3 linked regions of the Saccharomyces cerevisiae S288C genome follow. Changing the gene in region 1 together with any one later gene gives a genetic interaction. Each region holds a gene or a part of one and is shown in the gene's direction. Other genes may lie near its edges. The genes, in order: KEX1, ERO1 and ALG8.

The links.
Region 2: mutations in KEX1 (region 1) and ERO1 together harm fitness more than expected from each alone (negative genetic interaction), as found in Saccharomyces cerevisiae (2 studies listed by BioGRID).
Region 3: mutations in KEX1 (region 1) and ALG8 together harm fitness more than expected from each alone (negative genetic interaction), as found in Saccharomyces cerevisiae (3 studies listed by BioGRID).

Annotation. Positions count from the first base shown.
Region 1 is NC_001139.9:112,639-116,425, reverse strand, and holds the start of KEX1 (serine-type carboxypeptidase), read left to right. Parts: upstream 1-1,761; coding exon 1,762-3,787. Other genes in the region: ARO8 (bifunctional 2-aminoadipate transaminase/aromatic-amino-acid:2-oxoglutarate transaminase), read right to left, coding at 1-367.
Region 2 is NC_001145.3:11,372-15,071, reverse strand, and holds ERO1 (ER oxidoreductin), read left to right. Parts: upstream 1-1,897; coding exon 1,898-3,589; downstream 3,590-3,700. Other genes in the region: COX14 (Cox14p), read left to right, coding at 319-531. UniProt on the Saccharomyces cerevisiae protein: Essential oxidoreductase that oxidizes proteins in the endoplasmic reticulum to produce disulfide bonds. Acts by oxidizing directly PDI1 isomerase through a direct disulfide exchange.
Region 3 is NC_001147.6:451,676-455,462, reverse strand, and holds ALG8 (dolichyl-P-Glc:Glc1Man(9)GlcNAc(2)-PP-dolichol alpha-1,3-glucosyltransferase), read left to right. Parts: upstream 1-2,000; coding exon 2,001-3,734; downstream 3,735-3,787. Other genes in the region: VAM10 (Vam10p), read left to right, coding at 1,250-1,594; VPS5 (sorting nexin 1), read right to left, coding at 1-1,695. UniProt on the Saccharomyces cerevisiae protein: Dolichyl pyrophosphate Glc1Man9GlcNAc2 alpha-1,3-glucosyltransferase that operates in the biosynthetic pathway of dolichol-linked oligosaccharides, the glycan precursors employed in protein asparagine (N)-glycosylation.

The DNA of each region.
Region 1 (3,787 bases):
TGGTATGATCTCTAATGAAGTTTAATAGTTCAGGTTGACCAGCACTGAACCCGTATTGCAAAGCTCTTGACAAAGGAATATCGTTGGAAGGATTGGCACTTTTATCAGCGTAATCTTTGTTGACGGTGTATTTTATGCAATTCTGCTCGTCAATTGGAGCTCCAATACCCTGGGGAAAAGGAGGCTTGGGTGAATCTACAGATAGATTATCCCATGGGAAATAATCTTTTAATGGCAGGCCACCACCCAAAAAGATAATGTTAGGATCTTGGAAAAGATGGATGCAGGTTTTCAATGGGGATGGTTTACGAGCATTGGTTTCATCCGAAAACAAGTAAGAAAAGTCTTTTGATTCAGGTAAAGTCATGATAGTAACGATCGGTTGTCCTATTCAATGTCTGTATCAACTGCAGGGTTTAACTTAGTGGAATGGAAAAATAAGAAAAAGAAATAAGTTCTTAAAGATATAACCAAACCAAATATATAGTCTAGAGATGTGTATAGGAGGGTCTACAAGATAAGAAAAAAGATTGCGATACACATATCTTCAAATGAAATGCGCTTAATATTAGTCATAGATTGGACCTCGAGAAAGTGAAAAAGTGCAGAGTGAAAAATGTGATAAAAAAAGGAAAAAAAGACATCTAAGGTAACCCGGATGTTCTTCATTATTCCGGCGCAATTTAGTACTGTTCTTCTATCAATGGCAATTCAGAAGCCAGATTCTTGAATGAGGTGAAGGAGAACAATGGTTATAGGTTAATTAAGAGATTTTTGGATGGTGTATATGAGCCATGTTTAATCTTGGAAAAATAGTGAACCGGGAAAAAAATAAAGAAGAACTCCTCATAGGGGGCTCGAACCCCTGACATTTCGGTATCCTTGCTTAAGCAAATGCGCTTAAAAGCCGAACGCTCTACCAACTGAGCTAACAAGGATGAGTTCTTCGGATTTCTTCGATAATAGTTTTAGTTAAATATACATTATGTTCACATAATGCTATTATTTAATGCACATGTTAATGGACGGTAAACTACTTATCATTTATTGCAACAAATGAAAAGACACCACCCTAACAGCACGAAAAATGATGTTAATGTCTTGTATAGTATTGTCGGATAACTAACTCTCGTCTCAACAAAGCTTAAATAAGAGCTGAGAGATTGGTGAATTTTAAGATGATTGTAGGCATTTCATTGTTGATCAAGGCTACAATATTATGTATACAGAATATACTAAAAGTTCTCCTCGAGGGTAGAGGAATCCTCAAAGGGGAAGCGATATTTCTACATAATATTATTACGATTATTCCTCATTCCGTTTTATATGTTTCATTATCCTATTACATTATCAATCCTTGCACTTCAGCTTCCTCTAACTTCGATGACAGTTTCTCATACCTTATGTCATCGTCTAACACCGTATATGATAATATACTGGTAGTGTGACTACTAGTTTATAGACGATAGTTGATTTTTATTCCAACAGGATCATTTTGTTAGGTGAGGAATTGCGAGCTTTTTGGCTATAACTTTCAAGTTTTGTCACCAACATTTATATTTGCTTACTGCAGCCCGGAACCGAAAAACAATGTGGAAAAAGAAAAAAAAGTGGAATATTTTGATAATATAGGAAACATTAAGAAAAGCGATTTCTTATCATTGTCTTCAACTCCCATCTATTTGAAAAAGCTTGCTGAAGCATACTTTGGTTAAAGAGTACCTTGGCTATAGAATACCGTAGAGATAAAGACCTGAATAGATGTTTTACAATAGGTGGCTCGGAACGTGGCTAGCCATGTCTGCTTTAATAAGGATCTCAGTATCCCTTCCGTCATCTGAGGAGTACAAAGTGGCATATGAGCTGTTGCCAGGGTTATCTGAAGTGCCAGACCCTTCAAATATTCCACAGATGCATGCTGGCCATATTCCTTTACGTTCCGAAGATGCGGATGAACAGGATAGCTCTGACTTGGAGTACTTTTTTTGGAAGTTTACCAATAACGACTCTAATGGCAATGTCGACCGTCCCTTAATTATATGGTTAAATGGTGGACCCGGTTGCTCTTCCATGGATGGTGCCTTGGTCGAATCCGGCCCTTTTAGGGTGAATTCAGACGGTAAACTTTATCTAAATGAAGGGTCCTGGATATCCAAAGGCGATCTTTTATTTATCGACCAACCTACTGGTACTGGGTTTTCTGTCGAACAAAATAAAGACGAAGGTAAAATCGACAAAAACAAATTTGACGAAGACCTAGAAGATGTGACCAAGCATTTTATGGATTTTCTGGAGAACTATTTCAAGATTTTTCCAGAAGACCTCACTAGGAAAATCATACTATCGGGTGAAAGTTACGCTGGCCAATACATACCATTCTTTGCCAATGCAATTTTGAACCATAACAAATTTTCAAAGATCGACGGGGATACATACGACTTGAAGGCGCTATTGATTGGTAACGGTTGGATTGACCCCAATACACAGTCCCTATCGTACCTTCCGTTTGCTATGGAGAAGAAACTGATTGATGAAAGCAACCCCAATTTCAAACACTTAACGAACGCACACGAGAATTGCCAGAATCTGATAAACTCTGCCAGTACAGATGAGGCAGCCCATTTTTCGTATCAGGAATGTGAGAATATTTTAAACCTTCTATTGTCTTATACCAGGGAATCTTCGCAAAAGGGAACAGCGGATTGCTTGAACATGTATAACTTCAATTTAAAAGATAGTTATCCATCTTGTGGTATGAATTGGCCGAAAGATATTTCCTTTGTCAGTAAATTCTTCAGCACACCTGGTGTTATTGATTCGTTGCATCTTGATTCTGATAAAATTGATCATTGGAAGGAATGCACTAATAGCGTTGGAACTAAATTGTCTAATCCTATTTCAAAGCCATCTATCCATTTATTACCTGGTCTACTTGAAAGTGGAATAGAGATTGTCTTGTTCAATGGTGACAAAGACTTGATTTGTAATAACAAGGGCGTATTAGATACTATAGACAATCTAAAATGGGGTGGAATAAAGGGATTTAGCGACGATGCTGTTTCGTTCGATTGGATCCATAAATCGAAGAGTACAGACGACAGCGAAGAATTTAGCGGATACGTGAAGTATGATAGAAATTTGACGTTTGTTAGCGTTTATAATGCTTCTCACATGGTACCCTTCGATAAAAGTTTAGTGAGTAGAGGCATTGTCGATATTTACTCGAACGATGTTATGATCATTGACAACAATGGGAAAAATGTTATGATTACTACTGACGACGATAGTGATCAAGATGCTACTACTGAAAGCGGTGATAAGCCAAAAGAAAACCTCGAAGAGGAAGAACAGGAAGCGCAGAATGAGGAAGGAAAGGAAAAAGAAGGCAATAAAGATAAAGATGGCGATGATGATAACGACAATGATGACGACGATGAAGACGATCACAACTCCGAGGGCGACGACGATGATGACGATGACGATGATGAAGACGATAATAATGAAAAACAAAGTAATCAAGGCCTCGAGGATAGTAGACATAAATCTTCAGAATATGAACAAGAAGAGGAAGAGGTAGAAGAATTTGCAGAAGAGATTTCAATGTATAAACACAAAGCGGTAGTAGTTACCATCGTTACATTTTTGATAGTGGTTTTAGGAGTTTATGCGTATGATAGAAGAGTGAGGAGAAAAGCGCGTCACACAATTTTAGTTGATCCAAATAATAGACAACATGACAGTCCCAATAAGACAGTTTCATGGGCAGATGATCTGGAAAGCGGACTCG
Region 2 (3,700 bases), on another chromosome or scaffold:
CGTAAAATGGACAAGCTAATAGCAAAACGAAAAAACACGTTGTCACTTCTATATAACTTTGCTTAAGTAAGTATTTTGTCTTTATAATGTTACATACTGTGAAATACACTCTTTAGAAAACACTATTTCCTCACTCTCGGAAGCAGATTTCGAAGTTCTTCCTTACTTCTGAGCTTTGCTTCTCCTTCCTTGCGATTAATGTTACCCGGTATACGAAATCGGAGAGGATCAGAATAAATGCATTGAAAGGAGCATAAATCTATACAGCGGTTTGGCAATGGTGAGAGGAAGAGAACAAAAAATAGAACGCAGATAGTCATGTCCAAATACGCTTGGTATACCAGAGTTACAGATACATTACATCGTCTAACGGTACTGACGTTGGTTGGTGGTACGTTATACATGTCGGGTGGCTTAGCTTACACTTTATACATGAACGGTAAGAAGTACGAACAACAAGTGACCCAACAAAAGGCACTTGAAGAAGACAATCAACAACTGCAAAGTCCTACTGCACCTCCTACCGAGTAAACTGCGAGAACCCAGTGCTAATAAAATGAAGAAAAAGTACTAGATTACATTTTTAAGTGTTGCACTATATTCTAAGGGCCTCCATCGACGTAGTGTGCTGGTTCCACCTTCTCCTCATTATCATGCCAATATTTACGAACCTGTATATAATAATTAAATCATAAGAAACAACAAAAATAAATAACATTGCTGCCGGATTCCCGTAGGCAAAACTAACATATATATCGCTGCATGCCTTCCTATTCCTTATCAGGGGAAAGACTGCCACTGAGGTTTGAGGCCAAAGGCTGAAACACTTTTCTTCTAAAATGTCGTCTATTCGCCATCTAGTTTTTTATCTGACTATTTCTCGCTGTTTACTTTTTCTTACTGCCATTATGTAGGCCTTTTGAGTCAGCTTTGTGAAGAGATCTTATTACCTTAATTCTTGCTGAAAAATACATCGCAATGAAGTCACTTTCGTGATGGAAAGAACACGGCGGTAAGAATACGTTCCTTTTTGTGCTGTGTACACCCGTAAAATTGTACATTATTTATTTCAAAATATATAACAGGATCCCTCCAGTGTGTCTGAAATGATGCAACTCTGATACTTCAGAGTCGTACCCTTATTAAATACTAATGCCGAATATAGTCATCCAGTAGCCATAGTTCACACACACATTACTTATTCACCACATAAAGAACTAGAAATGCTTGCTAAATATCGTACCTTGAAGGTAAACATTAAGGCCCCCCAAAAGCATATATACATACTGGCAACACAAAAAAAGTAAATTGCCAACCACCTACCTTACATATGGTTTGCCCATCCTACATTACCAATACTATCAAGACATTTCTTCTGAAACATATTCACAACTGAAACGAGATCATTTTCTTATCTATCTATTGAGTAATGCTTACTTTTCATATTTTCAATGAACAATAGGATATGTAGGAGAATTGATATATTCACTGCGTATCAGAGAAAAGGTCTACTGACATTTTATGGCAAATGTATTCTACACAAATCGAGAATACCACAGACAATGGTACAAGACATACACAAAGAGAAGACTGTTCTAATTAAACAAATAATATTGAGCTACCTGCTAAGTATGTCCTTTTCCCTTTGTCCTTTGGTTTCTCTTATAGAAGACCCTGGAAATTTTTCGCATTTTTCCGGCTTTGGGCGTTAGTAAGAACAAAAAGAAAAGAAGAGAACAAAAAAGAAACGATACGGAGTACGTGTCATAAAAACTTGTTCAATCATCCTTGAAGCTAAGTATAAAGAGCTTGAAAAGGTTTACCACTTAAACTGGTTATACTATTTCAAGAGTGTAAACATTTTATTGCATATACCACAGTAACGTGCAGGTAAAACATGAGATTAAGAACCGCCATTGCCACACTGTGCCTCACGGCTTTTACATCTGCAACTTCAAACAATAGCTACATCGCCACCGACCAAACACAAAATGCCTTTAATGACACTCACTTTTGTAAGGTCGACAGGAATGATCACGTTAGTCCCAGTTGTAACGTAACATTCAATGAATTAAATGCCATAAATGAAAACATTAGAGATGATCTTTCGGCGTTATTAAAATCTGATTTCTTCAAATACTTTCGGCTGGATTTATACAAGCAATGTTCATTTTGGGACGCCAACGATGGTCTGTGCTTAAACCGCGCTTGCTCTGTTGATGTCGTAGAGGACTGGGATACACTGCCTGAGTACTGGCAGCCTGAGATCTTGGGTAGTTTCAATAATGATACAATGAAGGAAGCGGATGATAGCGATGACGAATGTAAGTTCTTAGATCAACTATGTCAAACCAGTAAAAAACCTGTAGATATCGAAGACACCATCAACTACTGTGATGTAAATGACTTTAACGGTAAAAACGCCGTTCTGATTGATTTAACAGCAAATCCGGAACGATTTACAGGTTATGGTGGTAAGCAAGCTGGTCAAATTTGGTCTACTATCTACCAAGACAACTGTTTTACAATTGGCGAAACTGGTGAATCATTGGCCAAAGATGCATTTTATAGACTTGTATCCGGTTTCCATGCCTCTATCGGTACTCACTTATCAAAGGAATATTTGAACACGAAAACTGGTAAATGGGAGCCCAATCTGGATTTGTTTATGGCAAGAATCGGGAACTTTCCTGATAGAGTGACAAACATGTATTTCAATTATGCTGTTGTAGCTAAGGCTCTCTGGAAAATTCAACCATATTTACCAGAATTTTCATTCTGTGATCTAGTCAATAAAGAAATCAAAAACAAAATGGATAACGTTATTTCCCAGCTGGACACAAAAATTTTTAACGAAGACTTAGTTTTTGCCAACGACCTAAGTTTGACTTTGAAGGACGAATTCAGATCTCGCTTCAAGAATGTCACGAAGATTATGGATTGTGTGCAATGTGATAGATGTAGATTGTGGGGCAAAATTCAAACTACCGGTTACGCAACTGCCTTGAAAATTTTGTTTGAAATCAACGACGCTGATGAATTCACCAAACAACATATTGTTGGTAAGTTAACCAAATATGAGTTGATTGCACTATTACAGACTTTCGGTAGATTATCTGAATCTATTGAATCTGTTAACATGTTCGAAAAAATGTACGGGAAAAGGTTAAACGGTTCTGAAAACAGGTTAAGCTCATTCTTCCAAAATAACTTCTTCAACATTTTGAAGGAGGCAGGCAAATCGATTCGTTACACCATAGAGAACATCAATTCCACTAAAGAAGGAAAGAAAAAGACTAACAATTCTCAATCACATGTATTTGATGATTTAAAAATGCCCAAAGCAGAAATAGTTCCAAGGCCCTCTAACGGTACAGTAAATAAATGGAAGAAAGCTTGGAATACTGAAGTTAACAACGTTTTAGAAGCATTCAGATTTATTTATAGAAGCTATTTGGATTTACCCAGGAACATCTGGGAATTATCTTTGATGAAGGTATACAAATTTTGGAATAAATTCATCGGTGTTGCTGATTACGTTAGTGAGGAGACACGAGAGCCTATTTCCTATAAGCTAGATATACAATAAGAGCAACACAGTTTATCTTATATGTATTCAATGTATAGATTTCAAAATATAGAGTTTAAATATCATTCAAAATATTCAATAAATTTTTCCTTTGAAAATTTAGGCCACTAA
Region 3 (3,787 bases), on another chromosome or scaffold:
AATTGCTTTTACGCTTGCCAATGACCTAATATAGTCGTCCAGCATCACACCCATCGTCAAAGTCTCTTGCAAAGAGCTTCTCTCAAGAGAGCTTTTTATGCTTTTATGAACATCAGCAAAATTATTCAGCAGTTCCGAATTAGGTTCACTCACGTTCAAAGACGCTAGGGTTTCTACCATACTAGAGAATTCTTCTGTTGATGCAGCCAGGGTGTTTCTTGAGGTGTCGACCATTTCCAAAGATTTGCTCAATTTTTTTAAATTATCTTCCAGTTCATCAATCTTTTGTTTCTTTTCGATAAAGAATTCATCTGCCTCGTTGTACTTGGGCAGTGATGAAAACGATATACTCATAAATCCCTTGTGCGATTCCGCGTCGATACCCCCATTTTTTAAGACCTCGGCAGCATCCTCTGCACCTAGTAGTTGTATCTCACTTATCCGGACTTCTGACAGATCGTTGCTATCATTAATAGCGCCAGATCCAGTCAAAAATGCCCTTTTTTTAGACTCTGAACTAAAGTCATCACTTGTCAAAAAGAGTAGAAAATCTTTGTCCTTTTGTAGAACCGGATCTTGACATATTTTTTTTAACATGCTTTCCATTTGAAATCTTCTATTTTCAATGAAATTTTCCTTAAAACTGCCTACTGATTGCTTCTCTGGTGGTGGTGGTATTACTTTACCCCAATGGTTGTTCTGCAATTGACGATATAGCCACCTGAAATCTCTGTAACGCCTGCTTACCTGTGCATATTTTAGCTCAAGTAATGATGATTCACTGATTACAGTATACTCCACATGAATGGATGTTAGCTCTCCTACTTTGACCGGGTCTTTAACTTCAACTTTGAAAGCCACAGCCTTTTCGGTTGGTGGCACCTTTGAGCCAATCTTGGTTTTTCCAAACTTTTCTGAGTTTTCCTCGACCTCAGCAGGACTTGAAATATTAGCACCTGTCTGAGGAAGATTGTATAAAGGCCTGTCCACTTGCTCAAGGATATTTTTTTCAACAGAAGCTGTGAACTTGCCCTCATTGTTTTCTCTCCTTTCATTCCTATCGTCCAATGGCTCTTCAACAAATTCATTCTCTTTTTCAGCTTTCTTTAAGGGATCAGTAAAGGGTGTTTTGATGGTATCATCGGAAGCAGTTGTTCTCTTCGCTTTCAGAGAATGGTTGCGTTTGGAGTTTCTTTGAGCTCTGGCGGAATCAAACAGAATTCGTGGTTTGCCGGATCTTCTTCCAGAGATGCTTTTTGAAGTATTTGGTGAAGTGTTAGCATCGTATATCGTATCGTCAAAAACTAAGGGAGAGTTGGCGTTTCCAGTGAACAATGCGCCACCGGATTCTCTTGTTGCAATAAATTGTGTAGTGCTATTCTTGAGATCAGCAATCGGATCCTGTTCAGGGGCTAAAGAATTAATAAGATCGTCAGCTTTGGAATTGTCATGCTCCTCTAGTTGCGGATTACCAGCCACCGACAAACCAGGGTCTTTCCATTCTGGCGCACTATCCAAGTCTATCTTGTCCGCAAATGAAGCTGTGGTCTCTAAAAGCTCATTGTCTTTTCTTTCTTCATTTGTAGATATTTGACCAATTGATTCAATTGAATTTGAAACGAGGCTCTGAGTTTTATCTCCCTCATGATTTAGTTCGTCCCAAACAGGTGCTTCTAGATTATCCTCGTAGTCCATGGCTTGTTATTGCAGGATGTATGAAAGTTTATAAAATCCCTGCTGCAAATTAAGAGATATATGGTTTCGTTCACTACGTAGTTATAGTAAATAACCTTTGCTTAACCCATTTTTCAAAGCATTTTTAAAATTTACTGTTATCACTTAGTTGTTCTTAGCGGACAACTTCCGAAAAGTGAAATTTCATTTTTCAAAACGACAATAGTGGTATAGAATTATAGAATAACATACGTTAAAAATAGCTGAAGTTCATTACAGTTCTGTAGTGGTCAGCAAGGCATTTGACGTCTATTGGATAGCCTACGATGAAAGGTGATCGTTCGAGGCAAAATATGGCTGTGACAAAGAAGGCAAAGTTAAAAAAAAATGACGAGCCAAAAAAGGTTTTGAAGACTGCCGCGACCGAAAAAGGTGAGGGATCCAAGCGCTACTCCTTATGGAATTTCTGGATAAGCACATTGTTTTTAAAATTACTATTGATTCCTGACTACTTCAGTACAGATTTTGACGTTCATAGAAATTGGCTGGCAATCACCAATAAATTGCCCATCAGCGAATGGTATTATGAGCACACTAGTCAATGGACATTGGATTATCCGCCATTTTTTGCTTATTTTGAATGGTTTTTATCGCAATTTGTTCCTAAATCTGTACGTGATGACGGTTGTTTGGATATAGTGGAGATCGGAAAGTTCGGTTTGCCAACAATCGTTTTCCAACGACTCACTGTCATCTTCAGCGAAATTCTTCTATTTGTCATCCTTCAAATATACATTAATACTACAAAGCTAAGTGAAAGATCTCAAAGTTTTGTGGTTGCTTCTAGCATTGTACTATCACCCGGGTTTTTAATAATAGATCACATTCACTTCCAATATAATGGTTTTCTTTTTGCGATTCTAATAGGCTCCATTGTCGCCGCCAAGAATAAGAGATACATCTTGTGCGCTGTTCTGTATACTACAGCCATATGTTTCAAGCATATATTTTTATATTTGGCGCCATGTTATTTCGTGTTTTTATTGAGAGCATACGTTCTCAATGTCAACAATTTCAAGTTTAAAAGTTACAAAGATTTTTTGTTCCTGATAAGATGGGCAAATCTTTTGAAGTTGGCTACCGTTGTTGTTGGAATTTTCACTATTTGTTTCCTTCCATTTGCTCATCAAATGCCGCAAGTGTTGAGCAGGTTATTCCCATTCTCAAGAGGACTGACGCATGCATATTGGGCACCAAATTTCTGGGCGTTGTATTCTTTTATGGATAAAATACTCACTACGGTAATGTTGAAATTACCGTACGTCCACACTTTTGCTACAAAATTTATTAAACCTCCTCTGATCCCTCAGAATATCAAGGAAATTAATGAAAGGCTCGCGGCAAACAACAATGGAAGTAAAGGTCTAGTTCAAGACGTATTTTTTGTTATTCTCCCTCAAATTCCTCCAAAATTAACGTTTATTTTGACGATATTTTACCAGGTCTTAGCAGTACTTCCACTTTTGTTTGATCCATCGTTCAAAAGATTTGTTGGCTCGTTGACTCTCTGTGGGTTGGCATCGTTTTTGTTCGGGTGGCATGTGCATGAGAAAGCTATAATGCTAGTCATCATTCCGTTCACATTTCTTGTTGGATTTGATCGTCGTCTTTTGGTACCGTTTATGTTAGTTGCCTCAGCTGGTTATGTTTCCTTGTATCCTCTTCTGTACAAAGGCCAAGATTTTTTCATTAAAACATTATACACTTATGTTTGGTGTATAATTTATTTTGCCGCTTTTAGAAAAACTACGAAGATTTCTTCAAGTGTAGAAAGAAGAATCTTTTTCTTGGATAGGTTGGCATTAACGTACATCTTTTCATTGTTACCAATCGTCACCGTATTACAAATATTGGATGAAGTCAAGTGGAGATATTCATTTTTGCAAAAATTTGAATTCTTAGGATTAATGATATATAGTGTCTATTGTTCATTAGGTATAATCAGCTCGTGGTTTGCCTTATCGTGGTTATATAATTTTGACGAATTACTATGGCAGTGATACAATATCGCTTCCCTAGGACGTTAAAAAAAAAGTGATATAAAATTATTTAT